2 linked regions of the Oryzias latipes genome follow. The protein of the gene in region 1 interacts with the protein of each later gene in a pairwise test. Links are inferred from orthologs where the notes say so. Each region holds a gene or a part of one and is shown in the gene's direction. Other genes may lie near its edges.

Region 1 (7,147 bases):
AGACAATGGAGAGCAGAGGATACAGTGCTGGAGGACAGATCCTCATGGGAGGACAAACCCCTGCATGGGATGTACCACCGGACCATAACTGAAGTGGCTGATATCAAGAAGTCCTACCAATGACTAGAAAGGGCTGGCCTACAGGACAGCACCGAAGCGCTCATCCTGGTGGCCCAGGAACAAGCCCTGAGCACCAGAGCCATAGAGGCTCAGATCTACCACACCAGACAAGACCCAAGGTGTAGATCTACCACACCAGACAAGACCCAAGGTGTAGATCTACCACACCAGACAAGACCCAAGGTGTAGATCTACCACCCCAGACAAGACCCAAGGTGTAGATCTACCACACCAAACAAGACCCAAGGTGTAGATCTACCACACCAGACAAGACCCAAGGTGTAGATCTACCACACCAAACAAGACCCAAGGTGTAGATCTACCACACCAGACAAGACCCAAGGTGTAGATCTTCCACACCAGACAAGACCCAAGGTGTAGATCTTCCACACCAGACAAGACCCAAGGTGTAGATCTACCACACCAGACAAGACCCAAGGTGTAGATGTTCCACACCAGACAAGACCCAAGGTGTAGGCTGTGCAAAGAGGCGCCTGAAACAATCCAGCACATGACTTCAGGGTGTAAGATGCTGGCAGGTAAAGCATACATGGAGCGCCACAATCAAGTGGCTGGAATAATATACAGGAACATGTGTGCAGAATATGAACTGGAAACCCCAAGGTCAAAATGGGAAACACCCCTGAAGGTGGTATAGAATGAGAGGGCAAAGATCCTGTGGGACTTCCAGATCCAGACTGATAGGATGGTAATGGCGAACCAACCAGACATTGTAGTGGTGGATAAAGAAGAGAGGAAAGCCGTTGTGGTGGATGTGGCAGTGCCAAGCGATGGGAACATCAGGAAGAAGGAACATGAGAAACTGGAGAAATACCAGGGACTCAGAGAAGAACTGGAGAAAGCCTGGAAAGTGAAGGTGACAGTGGTGCCTGTGGTAATTGGAGCACTCGGGGCAGTAACCCCCAAGCTGGAGGAGTGGCTACAACAGATACCTGGAAAGACCTCAGACCCCTCAGTCTAGAAGAGCGCAGTGCTAGGAACAGCTTTTTTTGTTTTTGTTTTTTGCTAGGAACAGCTGAGATCCTTCGCAGGACCCTCAAGCTCCCTCTGGTAGAGGACCCGAGCTTGGAGGAAAAACCACCCATGGAGGGTGAGACAGGCGTTATTATATATTCAGTGAAATAATGTAAACCACTGGACTGTAATGTTGATTGTTGATGTGCAGGGGCCTGTTTCAGAAAGGAGGTTCAACCAACTCTGAGGTTAAACTTGAACTCTGAGTTGGTCTATCGAGAGATTAACAACTCTGAGTTTCCTGTTTCAGAGAAGCTGATCAGAGTTAGATCAATCAACTCTGAGTGGACTGATTCGGAGTTAAGCGTGCGCACCGCAACTATAAGAAGCCATTATCAATGGAGCGCAGATATTACGAGTCACCATGGCAACCGTGAAAAAAAGAGGTCTGCGTATTTTTCTCCAGCTGAACTTGACATGCTGCTGCAGAGTTACAGTGAATATGAGCACATATTCCAGAAGAAAAGCAACACCGCTACATCTGCAAAACAGAGACAGTTAGCGTGGGAAAACATAGCTGCTCAAGTTAATGCGCAAGTTTGCATTTAAATCATTGTTATAAAATATTGACTGTAATAACTTTTTAAATAGCGTAAGGTGTGAAATAAAAAATGGTGATATTTAGGTGTACTTTTGAAGTGTTATTCCTGGTGTAATTGCATGAAATGCTGCATAGTGTACAGAACCAATCTGGGGGAAAAAATGCATTTAACGTCGGTAATGTTTAGAGGACTTTTTTGTTAACCTTCCCCTCTTGCAAACGTTGGTCAGTTTAATATTAATACATGCAATTGTGTTTTTAAAAGTGAACTTTTGTCTACCCTTGTATTGATCAAGTGGTATAGGTTTATATGGGATTAAGAAAGTAAGCAGTGCTAGCAAATTGTGTTTCCAAAAAGTAATTGTTACATTAATCTAATTCAATGTCCCTGTTTTCATTTTCATGTAGATGCAATCCTGCAGGAATTAAAAGAACACGGCAGCAGCTAAAAATGAAGTATAAAAACATAATTCAATCAGGTCAAATTTGAGCATGTCATGGATGTAGGCTTTGTTGACAATATTTGACATATGAAACATCTACATAGCAATATCTAATGTTGTTTTCATTGTATATATGTAATTGACTGCAATGAAAAACGGTAACGCTCAAACAAAAACGTATGGGGAAATGACAAAAAATCGAGTCTAGGTCTCAAAATCCTCGTACGAGGTAAATGTAATTCTCTACGAATTAATGCAGCCTCCTCGTCTATTGGGTCCTCCAAAAAAGGACAAGCCATTCTTGTCACTTGTCTCTGTGTGACGGACATTTGGGCAATGAAGGTTAAAGCGAAAAATATCGCTTCGTCTTTAAAAAGGGGAGGGGACCGGCAGAAACCTTGAGTTTAGAGAATAAAACCTGCTCCCCACCAGGTTAGGTTCACAGCGTAAGTAACCATGGACACTGACTCAGAGTATAAGTTACCTCTCTTTCAGAAACGGGTTTGACTTACTCTGCTTTCTCTGGTTTAACAAACCTCCCATTCTGAAACAGAAAACCCAGGGTTTCCCTGATTTCAGGGTTAACGCACTCAGAGTTTACACTTAACCTCCTTTCTGAAACAGGCCCCAGGTGGCACATTATCTATAATGTTTTCTTTAACCTATTGTGTCCTTTCTAATAGTTTTAGAAAGAAAACTCAATGTTATTTATTTAAAAAATAAACACATTTTCTTGCTAAGTTATAAGAATAAAATCATTTTAAAAAATTGAGAGTTTTTGAGAAAAAGCAAAGTCCAGAGTATGGCCAGAAGAGCAGCTGGATGACTACATTGGCTGCATGTAGGCCTGGTGCATGAGAAACCCGGGTTTGATTCCCATGGGGTGCAATGAGCTTCATCCAGTGTTAGGCTCCTGCCTAACTATGTAGCCAGAAAGTGTCGGTCCCGGCCTAAAGTAAATACAGGATTGTGTCAGGAAGGCCATTCAGTGTACATATCTCTGCCAAACCGACTGCAGATCAGTGAAAGCTGAAGGGATATGGTGAACAGCAACAACAGAGGATGAAGACGAGTGTAACAACGAGAGACAGCTTTCCAGGGAAACGATTAAGACTAAAACGACGGTGAAGATAAAAATGTTTAATACAAAACAAAAAGGAAGTAAAATTCTTTAAAAACTATTAAAAGCGGAAAAAATTAAAATTTAAAAAGAAAGGTTTTAAAAGGAAAAAAAGAAAGATTGAAATATGGAAGTCAACAAAGGGACGGTTTCAGAAACGAAAAAAGCTGCAAGCACTAAATCTAAAAACCAACGAACGAGAAAGGAAAAAAACTTTAGTGGGGAGACAGGAAGACTGATCCAGAATGTGTTTTCGTTCAGGCACGCAGACAGGAGACCTGTATGACGTCAGCGCGTCCAGCTACGTTCCCGCTCGTTGATTAGCTGTTTTGAACAGCGTCGAGCGCGCTGATTGGTGCGTTTTGAAGCCGAGTCCTGCGCTCAATTTTAAAGAGTGTCAGCTTTGTATCCGCAGCGTGAGCAGCGACAGCACGGAGGTAAGAAGCGGCAACCGTTAACGGCTTCAACCGGTAGATCACGACATGAAATGGTACCGCTTTGATATGAGGAGAGGCGCGTTGGCGGACGGACACGCGCCTTCCGGTAACGGCTCGGTTCGGTTTTCCCCCAACCTGGTTTTCAGATTTGGAGAGGCCTCAGCTGGCCGGTGAAAGTCGGTGGGGTTGGTTCGATTCCTACTGTTTTTATTCTGTCTCTGTAACGTCGAGCTGCTCGTTTTACGGTTTTCAGGCCTGAACGTTCAGCGGTTCTCAACGGAGGATCTGACCGTTTGGAGTCTGAACATCTGCAGAAGTCCGAGCTGAGAGGATTTGTCTTCTCTTTCAGGGACAGATGGAGGACTACGTGAAAATAGAGAAAATCGGAGAAGGTTGGTGGAGTAAAAATGTTTTTGTTTTTCTAAAATGTTGTCCAGATTTTTTTGGGGGGTGAAACCCACCAAAGAGGCCCACCTGGATGCTGAACTTGGAAGTCCTTGAAAGTTCCTCCACCCGTATATGGAGATGTCCCAGGATGACGTCTCAAGCTTTGCTTTGGTTCAGATCCTGGCTCTTCATTCTGATCATGGTCCCCTGCACCACAATCTGAGTGATGGGGTGACTGCAGTGGTTCTGGGACGTCTGAGTCCTCATCCCCTGACTCTGCTCTGGTGTCTGCAGGGACATACGGGGTGGTGTACAAAGGCCGGCACAAGTCCACGGGACAGGTGGTGGCCATGAAGAAGATCCGCCTGGAGAGTGAGGAGGAGGGAGTTCCCAGCACCGCTGTCAGGGAGGTGTCGCTGCTTCAGGAGCTGAAGCACCCCAACGTCGTCCGGTATGCTGCACGTGTGCGCTGAACAGGTTCCTGACATTAATGTCCATGCGCTGCAGGTAAAATGCAGTGAGGTGATGTCCGGGTCAAAGGTGCTGGGTTTTAGTCCCTCTTGTCTCATCTGAACGTTTGGGGATAATCCAGATGTTTGTTCTTGTTCAGCACTTCTTTCTCCTTGAACTCTCCTGTGGATCCATGATTGTTCAGAAGTCCCTTTCTGACTGTTGGATCATGAACTCTGACCTGAACACGTGCACACGTGTAATGGGAGGCCTCCACTTGCTTCCATGTTCTTTCCAGAGGGGTCCTGCTTGGGTTTTTAACTCTTTAGTCCTTCTGTAGGGATGTTCAGAGTAGCGTTAATGCCGAATCCCTCAACTCCCTCCGCTGATCTTGGAGGTGCAATAATGGTTCCACCTTTGTGTTCACCTGAAAGGCTCTTGGATGTCCTGATGCAGGAATCTCGCCTCTACCTGATCTTTGAGTTCCTGTCCATGGACCTGAAGAAGTACCTGGATAGCATCCCGTCAGGACAGTACATGGACCCCATGCTGGTCAAGGTAAAACACTCAGCGCTTCGTTTTTAGATTTCCTACTCTTTGTTGTGACAAACGCTTTCTATTAAGCTGAACATCCCGGTTTCAGCTGGGGGAGGGGGGTCTCTGAATGATAACACACCAGGTTCCTCACTAACCACGGACTGCAGCTCCAAACATCACAGATCTTCATCAGTTCTTCTGAGGCAGCCATGATGCTTTGTGCTGCTTGTCTGTGAGGATGTTCTGGTGTGGAACTAGCAGTCTACCACTTTGAGCCTGTTCCCTTTTCTGCCCCCCCCTACAGAGCTACCTCTATCAGATCCTTGAGGGCATTTACTTCTGTCACCGAAGGCGGGTCCTCCACCGCGACCTGAAGCCCCAGAACCTTCTGATTGATAACAAGGGCGTCATCAAACTGGCAGACTTTGGCTTGGCCCGGGCCTTCGGTGTTCCCGTCCGGGTCTACACCCACGAGGTGGGAACCGCTCCGCTGCAGAACCCAACGCTGAGGTCTGCTCAGCTGATCCAAGCTTCTCGTTCTCAGGTTGTGACTCTGTGGTATCGAGCTCCTGAGGTCCTTCTGGGTTCCCCCCGATATTCAACCCCAGTGGACGTGTGGAGCACGGGTACCATCTTTGCTGAACTCGCCACCAAGAAGCCCCTGTTCCACGGAGACTCCGAGATCGACCAGCTCTTCAGGATCTTTAGGTACCGTGTGGGAGAACTATTCAGCTTCTTTCAGCGCACACACACACACACACTGATTCTACAAGGAGAAATCAGGTCTTGAAGAGTAAAGGGGCTCTATTGTCCGTCTGCAGGACTCTGGGGACCCCCAACAATGACGTTTGGCCGGATGTGGAGAGCCTGCCTGACTACAAAAACACTTTCCCCAAATGGAAGGAGGGCAGCCTGTCCTCCATGGTGAAGAACCTGGACAAGAACGGCCTGGACCTGCTGGCGGTGAGAAGTTCTTCAGATTATGAATAAAGTAGATCAAGTGGACATTTCTCATGGGGTGGGGTCAGCTGCAATCTCTTCGGGGGCTCCAAAGAAAAGCACCAAACTAAGGAACATTTCAGTCTTTTTATTCTTTAATGATCTCAGAACACCCTCCACCACCACCGGGGGTCAGCAGAACCCTTCAAAACCAGACCTTTACTTTTGAACATCCAGTTCCTCCTCAGTAACCCTCCTTGTGTTTTTAGAAAATGTTGATCTACAATCCTCCCAAGAGGATCTCTGCACGTGAGGCCATGACCCACCCATACTTTGATGACCTGGACAAGTCCACGCTGCCCGCCGCCTGCATCAACGGCGTCTGAAGGCCTGAGCCCCCCCGTTCTTCTGTAAATACTTGTGTGTTTGTGTTGGAAATATTTTCCAGAAAAATGTGTGAATAAAGGTTTTCATCAAGTGTTGGTGGGTGTGGCTTTTGTCCCTGCTGATGTCAGCAACCCTCTTCAATCCTGCCAAAGACCTGAGATGTTTGTTCTGGCTGCTGGATTTCTGCATTAGATGCAGAAACATGAAACCAAAACCATTTTAATAAAAGGCCACTAAGGTACAAAGAACTGATTTAGTCTCCCAAAACCGATCTGGAGGGAGCTACACCTGAACAAGCTTCTCTGCCCACCAGGAGTCTTCTTCCTCATGTCTGATCAGCTGCTGCCCTCCTCTTCCTCCAGCAGGAACTCACTGATCTCGTCCTTCATCAGAGACCTGCAGAAACGGCAACAATAAACAGCTGAAAGCTGCTTGGCCAAACCGCTCCGCCTTCAAGCGGAGTAAGTCTGAACATCTGCAGCGTGAAGCTCGTGTGGAAAACTGACAAACCAGCAGGTCTGCTCACAGAAACAGGACTATTTTAGAATAAAATCCAGTGATGACTGAGAGGTCAAGAATGACACTTCACTGTTTTCAGGAAAAGCTGCTGATGCAGTCTTGTGTTGTTCAGAAGCTTAAATGATGCTTAAACCTAAAACTACATGGAATAAAGGTTTGTCCTCACCTCCTCTTCCTCCTCTGAGCCTCTGTCAGGATGTACTGGGGAAGATGAGCCACTGAAGACTGAAAG
Region 2 (7,147 bases), on another chromosome or scaffold:
GCCAGCAGCAGCGAGAGAAGCTTCAGCTCCTCCTCCTCCTCTGTCTGAAGGACAGAAACGCTGCGTCTGCATGTCTTCAAAGATCCTCTCTGCACGGACGGATCAGAGGAGGTACCTGCTCTGTCTGACGTTTCTCCGCCTGCTTTGGTCTGCTGAGCTCCAGGGACAGGAAGGAGGCCAGGGTGGAGGTGTAGCTCAGGTACGCGTTTGCAAAAGCTGTCTGGACATCAGAAAAGAGCCGCTCTGAGCACCGTTTGAAACCGGCCGCACCGGCGCCACGCGAGGAGACGTCGCCTTACGTCGTTCTGACCGATGAGCTGCACCAGGATGTCTCCAACCAGAGACTTCCAGTGTTGGGTGGAGAGGCGCTCCTGCAGCGTGTTCCTGAAGAGGAGGTGTCGCTGCAGAAGCTGCTCCAGCAGCTTCACGTACGTCTGACTGCATGACAGAGAAACCAGCTGAGTGTCATACCGCCGCCAAACACCAGGGGGCGGCAGGGCTTCTCGATATAAACAAAAAAAAGCGATGAAGGAAAAGACTAATATTTTAAAAAAATGTGAAAAAAAAAACCTCTTAAAAAATTCAATTTGATTTAGAGTTAAGATTTTTAATCAGAGAAAAATTATGTTTACACAAAAACCAAGAAAAAGTTATATTTTTCTAGTGATGACAAAAACATAAATACAAGATAACAGCAGTTTTGTTAATGTTTTGTAATGTTTCTGATTTCATTTAAATTATTTCAATCTATTTCAGATTTTTTTCAATTCATATTCAAACCAAGATAGGGTGAGCAAACATTTGAAATGCGCGTACAAAAATCCAACAAAATAAAAATAGGAAAGGCAACAATTTAAAATAACAATAGGTTTGATACATTACTGTAGTTTTCTTGTTTTTGTTTGAGACACTTAAAATAATCAGAAAAACTAAATAAAAAAGCTACTAAACAAAGATGTGTTTCCATGTACATAAATAAAAAAGTGTTTCCACAAAATCATAAGATTGACATCAGAAACTTCCAGGTCCAGGATTCCATAAAGAAGAGAGGGAATATTAAAAACAGCCAATTATGAACATCGGTCCAGAATGTTTTTAAACGATGAAAGAAATGTTTTAATGTTTCGGTTTTAGATGAACAGAAAATAAAAGCTTTCTTTGTCGCGTCTATTGTTTGTACTAAAGTTCCAGAAGACGTTTTGTTTAAAGGTTACAGTTAGTGATTTATTGTTGCGTTTTTTCATCTTTTATGAGGGTTTCATTAATGATCACCTCTAAGAAGGGAGGTTTGATTCCATTGCTTTGTAATCTATTATGAATAAGATGAAGTAATGACTTTACAGACTTTGTTCTGACAGTTACTAGAATCCTTCGTGTTGTTTGGTTACAAACTCATAGATATGAGAACTGCATTCCATCAGGAGGCATCGAGTCATAAACAAAACACGGTTATCACAGACGTAAACAATCAATTTCAGATGAGAAATACTAAAAAAAAAAATAGCAAAATTAGCCCCGCCCCTAAACCACACACATGCATGCCCCCCCTTCACTCACTTTGGCTCCCCCATCAGCTGGTGGGCCGGGGGGGTCCGGTACCGGTCGTACAGTTGGTTCAGCGTGGACACGTACTCCCACTCCGAGTGCAGCAGCTGCATCGCCACCTGGTGTCGAGCGTCTGCAACAGCAGGTGATGTTGGTGAAACCGTCCCACGTTTGTTTAATTCCACTTTTTTTTGGGGGGGGGTCTGACCTGTGCCCTCACTCAGCCCGGCTTTTAGGCCCTGCAGGAAACAGCGGAGGAGCAGTTTCCCTCTGGAGGGGCGGACGGGAGGCGCGGCCACACCTGCGCGGTCCTCACCTGCCGGATCACAGCTGGACATCAGACGGAAACTGTCAAACGTCAGCCGCCATTTCTGGGTCTGTCGGTTCAATTCCACACGTTTGGATGAAACTTCTCATGTTTGACTCCAAAGCAGGAGTTTCTGGGTGTGGAGTGATTTCTATGGCACCACGTTGCAAACAAAACTTTCTCAGTTGTAAATGAAAATATTAAAAATTTGCTTTCACTTTTTGTTTTTTGTTTCTACGGAGCCCCTGAAGGGCCATTGGGAAAAAAAATAAACGGAAAGAAAAAACAATTGAAGTAAAAACAAACAAAAAAACGAACTGGTGCTCACCAGATAGTAACGGGAGCAAACTACTTATTTATTTATTTTGTTCCACTTCAATTGTTTTTTTTCTTCAATGTCCCTTTAGGGGCTCTGTAGCCTTCACAAACATTTAAAAAAAAAAATTTTTTTTTTTGCTTTAAAAAGGTTTTTTTTTAGTTTGCAACACTGTTTTTAAATGCGTTGTGTCTCATCTCACTGTTTTCCTGTTTTTGATTTTGCTCTCATAATTTTCAGTTTAGCGTGAAACAGCTGCCAACATTTGTAAAAAAAATGTTTTTAAGGCAAAAATTTAATATTTTCGAATTAGAACGTTTAGTGTGAAACTTGGTGGCATCAATATCACTCCATATCTGTGAGGCTGAAGAAACGAGCGATGAAGATTCCTGATGTCAGAGCATCCATGAAGCTCATAAAAAGGTTTTTTTTTACCTTTGTGTTTGTTTCTTTGCCTCCGGCTGAGCTCTGCTGCTGTGCAGCTGCAGGACCTGACTCCTCATCGCCTCCAGCTCCTCCTGGAAGTGACCACATCTGTTACCGGACTGGCCTCCTCGCCACAGCGGGGGCCGTCGGACGGAGCGTCTCACCCGCAGCGCCTCCACCAGCGCCTCCAGGCGAAGAGCCTTGTCGCGGCAGCTCCTGCGGCTCTCCTGCAGCTCCTCCCTCAGGTACAGGTCTCCGTGCTGGATCTGACCCAGCTCCAGCAGGGCGCTGCCGAAGCCCGCCTTCAGCTCGCCGACCGCGCTCTGCAGCTGGAAGAGGCGGCATTCAGAGACCGTCTGCCGCGTTTGCACTTTGTTTTGCTCGGGCTCCTTACCTTTGAGATTTCGTGGACGAGGCGGGCCTCCTGAGGCTTCATGATATGCAGAGAGACACAAACGGCGCCGTCCTGATCGGAAAGGCTTCTGCTGTTTGAGCGCCGTTACCTGCTCAGGTGTTGCTCCTGCCAGCAGCGCTCTGCTGAGGAAGTGGCACGGCGGCCCTGAACCTGCAGGGAAACGAGCGCCGAGACTCCTCCTTATGAGTCACCAGCCAGAAGGACGGGCAGCATGCAACCCCCCCCATGCAGGATGTGCAGTTTGCCGCTTTCGTTTACATTTATGTTCTAGAAAACGTGTTTGCATTTTAACGAGGATTGACCGATGAATGATGAACTCATAATCAAACTCGCCGTCTCAAAGACGCTCATCAGTTTTGTCAGATTTCCTCCTAAAATGTTCAGAAAAAGCAGAAAAGTCTGCTGGGAAAACCCTGGTTTGGTCCTGGGGGGCCGGCTCTGCTGCTCTGAGTGGACAGCAGGTTCCTGCAGAGGATTCGTGACACGACCGTGTCCCCACAGAAAAACAACCCCCCCCCCCGCTGCAGACCAACATTATCAGGACTCGTTTGATTTTGAAGAAAACTTCAACAAGATAATTAATTATGTTCTGCTAATGTCATATTTCTACATTTAAAACGGAGGTTTGGACATTAAAAAGCCTTTATTGGACTCAATAACATCATTTTAGTGCAAAATGAATTACATTAATTATGATTTGTAGGATTGATTCTGCTTCATAAAAAGTCACTGTTTTCTGGTCTTCATAATCATAACTGTATTTATTTTATTTTTATAAATCTGATATTAATAAGGTCTTTTTTAATTAATAGAAACAGTAATATTTTAATTTAATGTCACATGTGATTAACATTAATAAACAGACTGGTGTTTATTAGAATAGTGACGTCATCACAGAGTGGCACTGTAAACGGCCGCTTCTTTTTTATTTTTATTCTATTTTTTGTCATTTTAAAGTTCAAAAAAACTTCTGAAAATACTTACTTTTGTCAAATGAAAAGCTCCTCTCTAGCAGCATTCAGGCTCCCACGCGGGACAAAAAGAAACGCACCTTTTCTTGCTTCCGACGTCGAACAAATCATTATCTTTCCTCACGCCGCCCGCCTCGACAACTCCGGAAAAGGATCGAACGCACCTTTAATCATTTTGTTTACAGAGTAGGCGGGGTTTATAAACCCTCCAATCCTATTGGACGATACCATTTTCAAACTATCGCTGTCAAAAAAGACCAAAGAGGAAAAAAACACAGCGAGGTGAGGAGAACGAGCTGATAAATAAACCATTTCTGATTCTATTTGAAGCTGAATATGAGGTTAGTTTAGCTTTACAGACAATCCCATCCGTTTATTTTATTTGATTTAAGTTACTTTAATGACTAAAGTAGACATTTGTGATTTGTCCTCACGTGGGTTGAAAAATATTATCAAGTACGTTTTTTAAAGAAGTTTCTTTGGCAGCACATTTAAACACTTTTAAACTACTAATAACCTGTCTTTAAAAAAATAGAGCATTCTGGATCAGTAATATTTTAACAAACTTTCTCTTCATGTGTTTGTTTCAGGAAATGAGAACAAATGAGTTTGACTCTTCATCTGAGGATGAGGATGTGGGAGATGAAGATCTGACTCCTCTGCACATTTCTTGGTATGGAAAGGGATTTTTTTTAATCCGTTCAGATCCTCCGTCCATCATTCACAGCTGTGTTGTGCTTTAAGGTTACCTCTGTCTGCGGTCGAGTCTTCACAGTTCCTTGGAATATGTGGACTTCCAGGTAAACAGGATTCCACCAGGTGTAGTTCTGTTTCACATTGTTAATAAGCAGAGGGAAATAACTTACTGTTTTTCTCTGGATTCCAGGCTGCAAATACAAAAACATCCGCAGGGATCTGCAGAGAGACGTTGGTGAGTCTCACAACCGGCGTTTTCTTCTGACTCGTAATGCAAACAATCCTTCATGTTTCCAACCGCGTAGGAAATGTCCTTTAGAAAGATGTGCAGGTTTGAACTCATGCCACGCGTTAAAAAGATGTTTTTCACCTGAACTTTAAACCTGTTTGGTTTCAAACCCTAAACTCTGGAAAAAAAAAAGCAAATTTATTCGTCTTTTCAAAGTTCTTCTTGTTCTGATCTTTTTAAGATAAAATGTTTTCCAAACCGCCGATCTGCTTTTATTCTAGAGAGCGACCTTGAGGTCGCTTCCTCTGAGAGTTTGCTTCCTTTGGCAGGTGTGAGAGCTCACCTGAGAACGACGAAGAGCGACTAAAAACAGGCAAATCTTAAGAAAGAGACACAAATTAGAAAAATGTTTACGTTTTAAAGTCGCGTATTGACGAGCGGCTGGCAGGTGTGATCATCTGACCAATCCGGAACTGACGTTTCCTGGAACTTCAGGACAGATTCTCTTTACTTTCAGACATTTATAAAACCAAAACCAAAGTTTTAGAAACGTTGAACGAATGAAAACGTCTGAGGTCCAGACTTTGATCCCTGAGGAACGCCACCAGACAATCGGAGGAACAGGATTGTGACATTCTGGACTTCAGCAGCTCCTAATTCTGTCTGAAGCTACGTCTTTGATGCCTCACAGTCATGAGAACGTTATAAATCCTCCTCAATCTGACTCTAATTTTTCCTACTGTTTGTCTTGAACCTTTGACCTTTTATGCGTTTGAAGCTCTAATCAGGATCAGGATTGTTGTAGATAGATCTTTGGTTCTTTCCATAGTTTGTTCCTAAAAGACCTTCGGTTGATCTTCTCTGTGCTCTGACCCTCCTCCACCTCCTCCTCCTCCTCAGAGGAGCTTCACAACCAGGGGGTGCAGGATGTGCTTGTTTTCTGCACCAGAGGGGAGCTCAGCAGGTACCGAGTCCCCACCCTGCTGGAGGCGTACGAGCGGCGAGGCCTCACGGTGCAGCACTGGCCCATCCCCGACGGAGAGGCGCCGGAGCTGGAGCAGTGCTGCCGGATCCTGGACGAGCTGCAGCGCCACCTGGAGGGCGGCAGGAAGACGCTGATCCAGTGAGTCTTCGTGCTACAATCGATGAAAACGCTGCGACGTCTGAGTGTGTAGCTCAGCAAAGCTCCACTCAGATCTGTTTCCTGAACGTTTTCTTTAGAAATTCAATTTTCCAAATCTTTTAGGATTTTTGACCCTCAGCTGCTTTTGCTCGTCTTCAGTCCAGACTTATTCTCTCAGACTAATTCCTTCTTTCTCCAATGTTTAGTGTTTTTAAAAAGTATTTTTTATTTGTAGCTAAAGTAGAATTGAACAATGTACAGAAATGAGGCGCAAATTCAGACTTTTCCACAGTTTTCCAGTTTTCTTCATGAATTCTGCCGTTTAAATCCAGTTTTGGCTCCAGATCAGAAACTGGTTTGAACCTCGGATGACCTCAGCCGTTCTTCTGTTCCAGCTGCTTTGGAGGTCTGGGACGATCCGCTCTGAGTGAGAAGCCAAACTTTGTGTTTTGAAGTCCGGACGCCTCCTCCTCCTCCTTCACGCTGTCCTCTCCTCCTCAGTCGCAGCTTGTTTGCTGCTTCAGCTCTCCGTTACCATGACGGCGAGCGACGCCATCAAGCTCCTCAGGGAGCTGCGAGGAAGAGGAGCCATCCAGACCGTGAAGGTGAGGACGCTCCTCTTCTGTCTGCAGGAAACTAAGAAAATGACCTTAAATACATTTATTCATGCAGAAATAAATAAAACAATAAATCGTTTGTGTCCAGCTTTTTACCTAAAGTGAAGCAAAAGATTAATTAGTTTAACCAAAAAAAATGTCAACACTTTTTTGTAGTTTAAAGTTTAGAAACATAAAGAATATGAACATCTAAAGGATTTAGAAATGCGTCAAATCTGACTATTTTAGCTAAAGATGAGGCTTCAAAGCATCAACGGCAGGAACTAAAAGCTGCTTCTTAGTTTAAAAAGTACTACACTTTATTTTATTAAACATACTACTGCAGTCCATCTAATTGTAGGAAGTAGACAAAGTGAATACTCTTTTTAGACTAAATGAGGACATTTTACAATATAATGATAAAAAAGGAGGATTTTATTTTATTTTATTTATCCCACAATGGGAAATTCGTTTCCGCATTTGACCCATCCCTCCACTGGGGGAGCGGTGAGCTGCAGCCGAT

The links.
Region 2: the proteins of cdk1 (region 1) and cdkn3 interact in a two-hybrid assay, tested with the Homo sapiens proteins (2 studies listed by BioGRID and IntAct). The link is inferred for Oryzias latipes from reciprocal best matches to the Homo sapiens genes CDK1 and CDKN3.

What each region holds. Positions count from the first base shown.
Region 1 is NC_019873.2:1,584,157-1,591,303, forward strand, and holds cdk1 (cyclin-dependent kinase 1), read left to right. Parts: upstream 1-3,688; 5' UTR 3,689-3,696; intron 3,697-3,736; exon of another isoform or gene 3,737-3,881; intron 3,882-4,045; 5' UTR 4,046-4,051; coding exon 4,052-4,088; intron 4,089-4,377; coding exon 4,378-4,534; intron 4,535-4,967; coding exon 4,968-5,091; intron 5,092-5,374; coding exon 5,375-5,545; intron 5,546-5,614; coding exon 5,615-5,778; intron 5,779-5,891; coding exon 5,892-6,033; intron 6,034-6,137; exon of another isoform or gene 6,138-6,278; coding exon 6,279-6,395; 3' UTR 6,396-6,491; downstream 6,492-7,147. Other genes in the region: ctu2 (cytoplasmic tRNA 2-thiolation protein 2), read right to left, coding at 6,732-6,792, 7,082-7,140. UniProt on the Homo sapiens protein: Plays a key role in the control of the eukaryotic cell cycle by modulating the centrosome cycle as well as mitotic onset; promotes G2-M transition via association with multiple interphase cyclins.
Region 2 is NC_019880.2:1,394,755-1,401,901, forward strand, and holds the start of cdkn3 (cyclin-dependent kinase inhibitor 3), read left to right. Parts: upstream 1-2,923; intron 2,924-2,988; coding exon of another isoform or gene 2,989-3,030; exon of another isoform or gene 3,031-3,159; intron 3,160-3,993; exon of another isoform or gene 3,994-4,138; intron 4,139-4,165; exon of another isoform or gene 4,166-4,321; intron 4,322-4,570; 5' UTR 4,571-4,573; coding exon 4,574-4,653; intron 4,654-4,724; coding exon 4,725-4,780; intron 4,781-4,866; coding exon 4,867-4,911; intron 4,912-5,805; coding exon 5,806-6,028; intron 6,029-6,423; coding exon 6,424-6,455; intron 6,456-6,529; coding exon 6,530-6,633; intron 6,634-7,147. Other genes in the region: uncharacterized protein LOC105356878, read right to left, coding at 1-44, 116-220, 300-438, 1,558-1,678, 1,754-1,875, 2,604-2,923, 2,989-3,030. UniProt on the Homo sapiens protein: May play a role in cell cycle regulation. Dual specificity CC phosphatase active toward substrates containing either phosphotyrosine or phosphoserine residues. Dephosphorylates CDK2 at 'Thr-160' in a cyclin-dependent manner.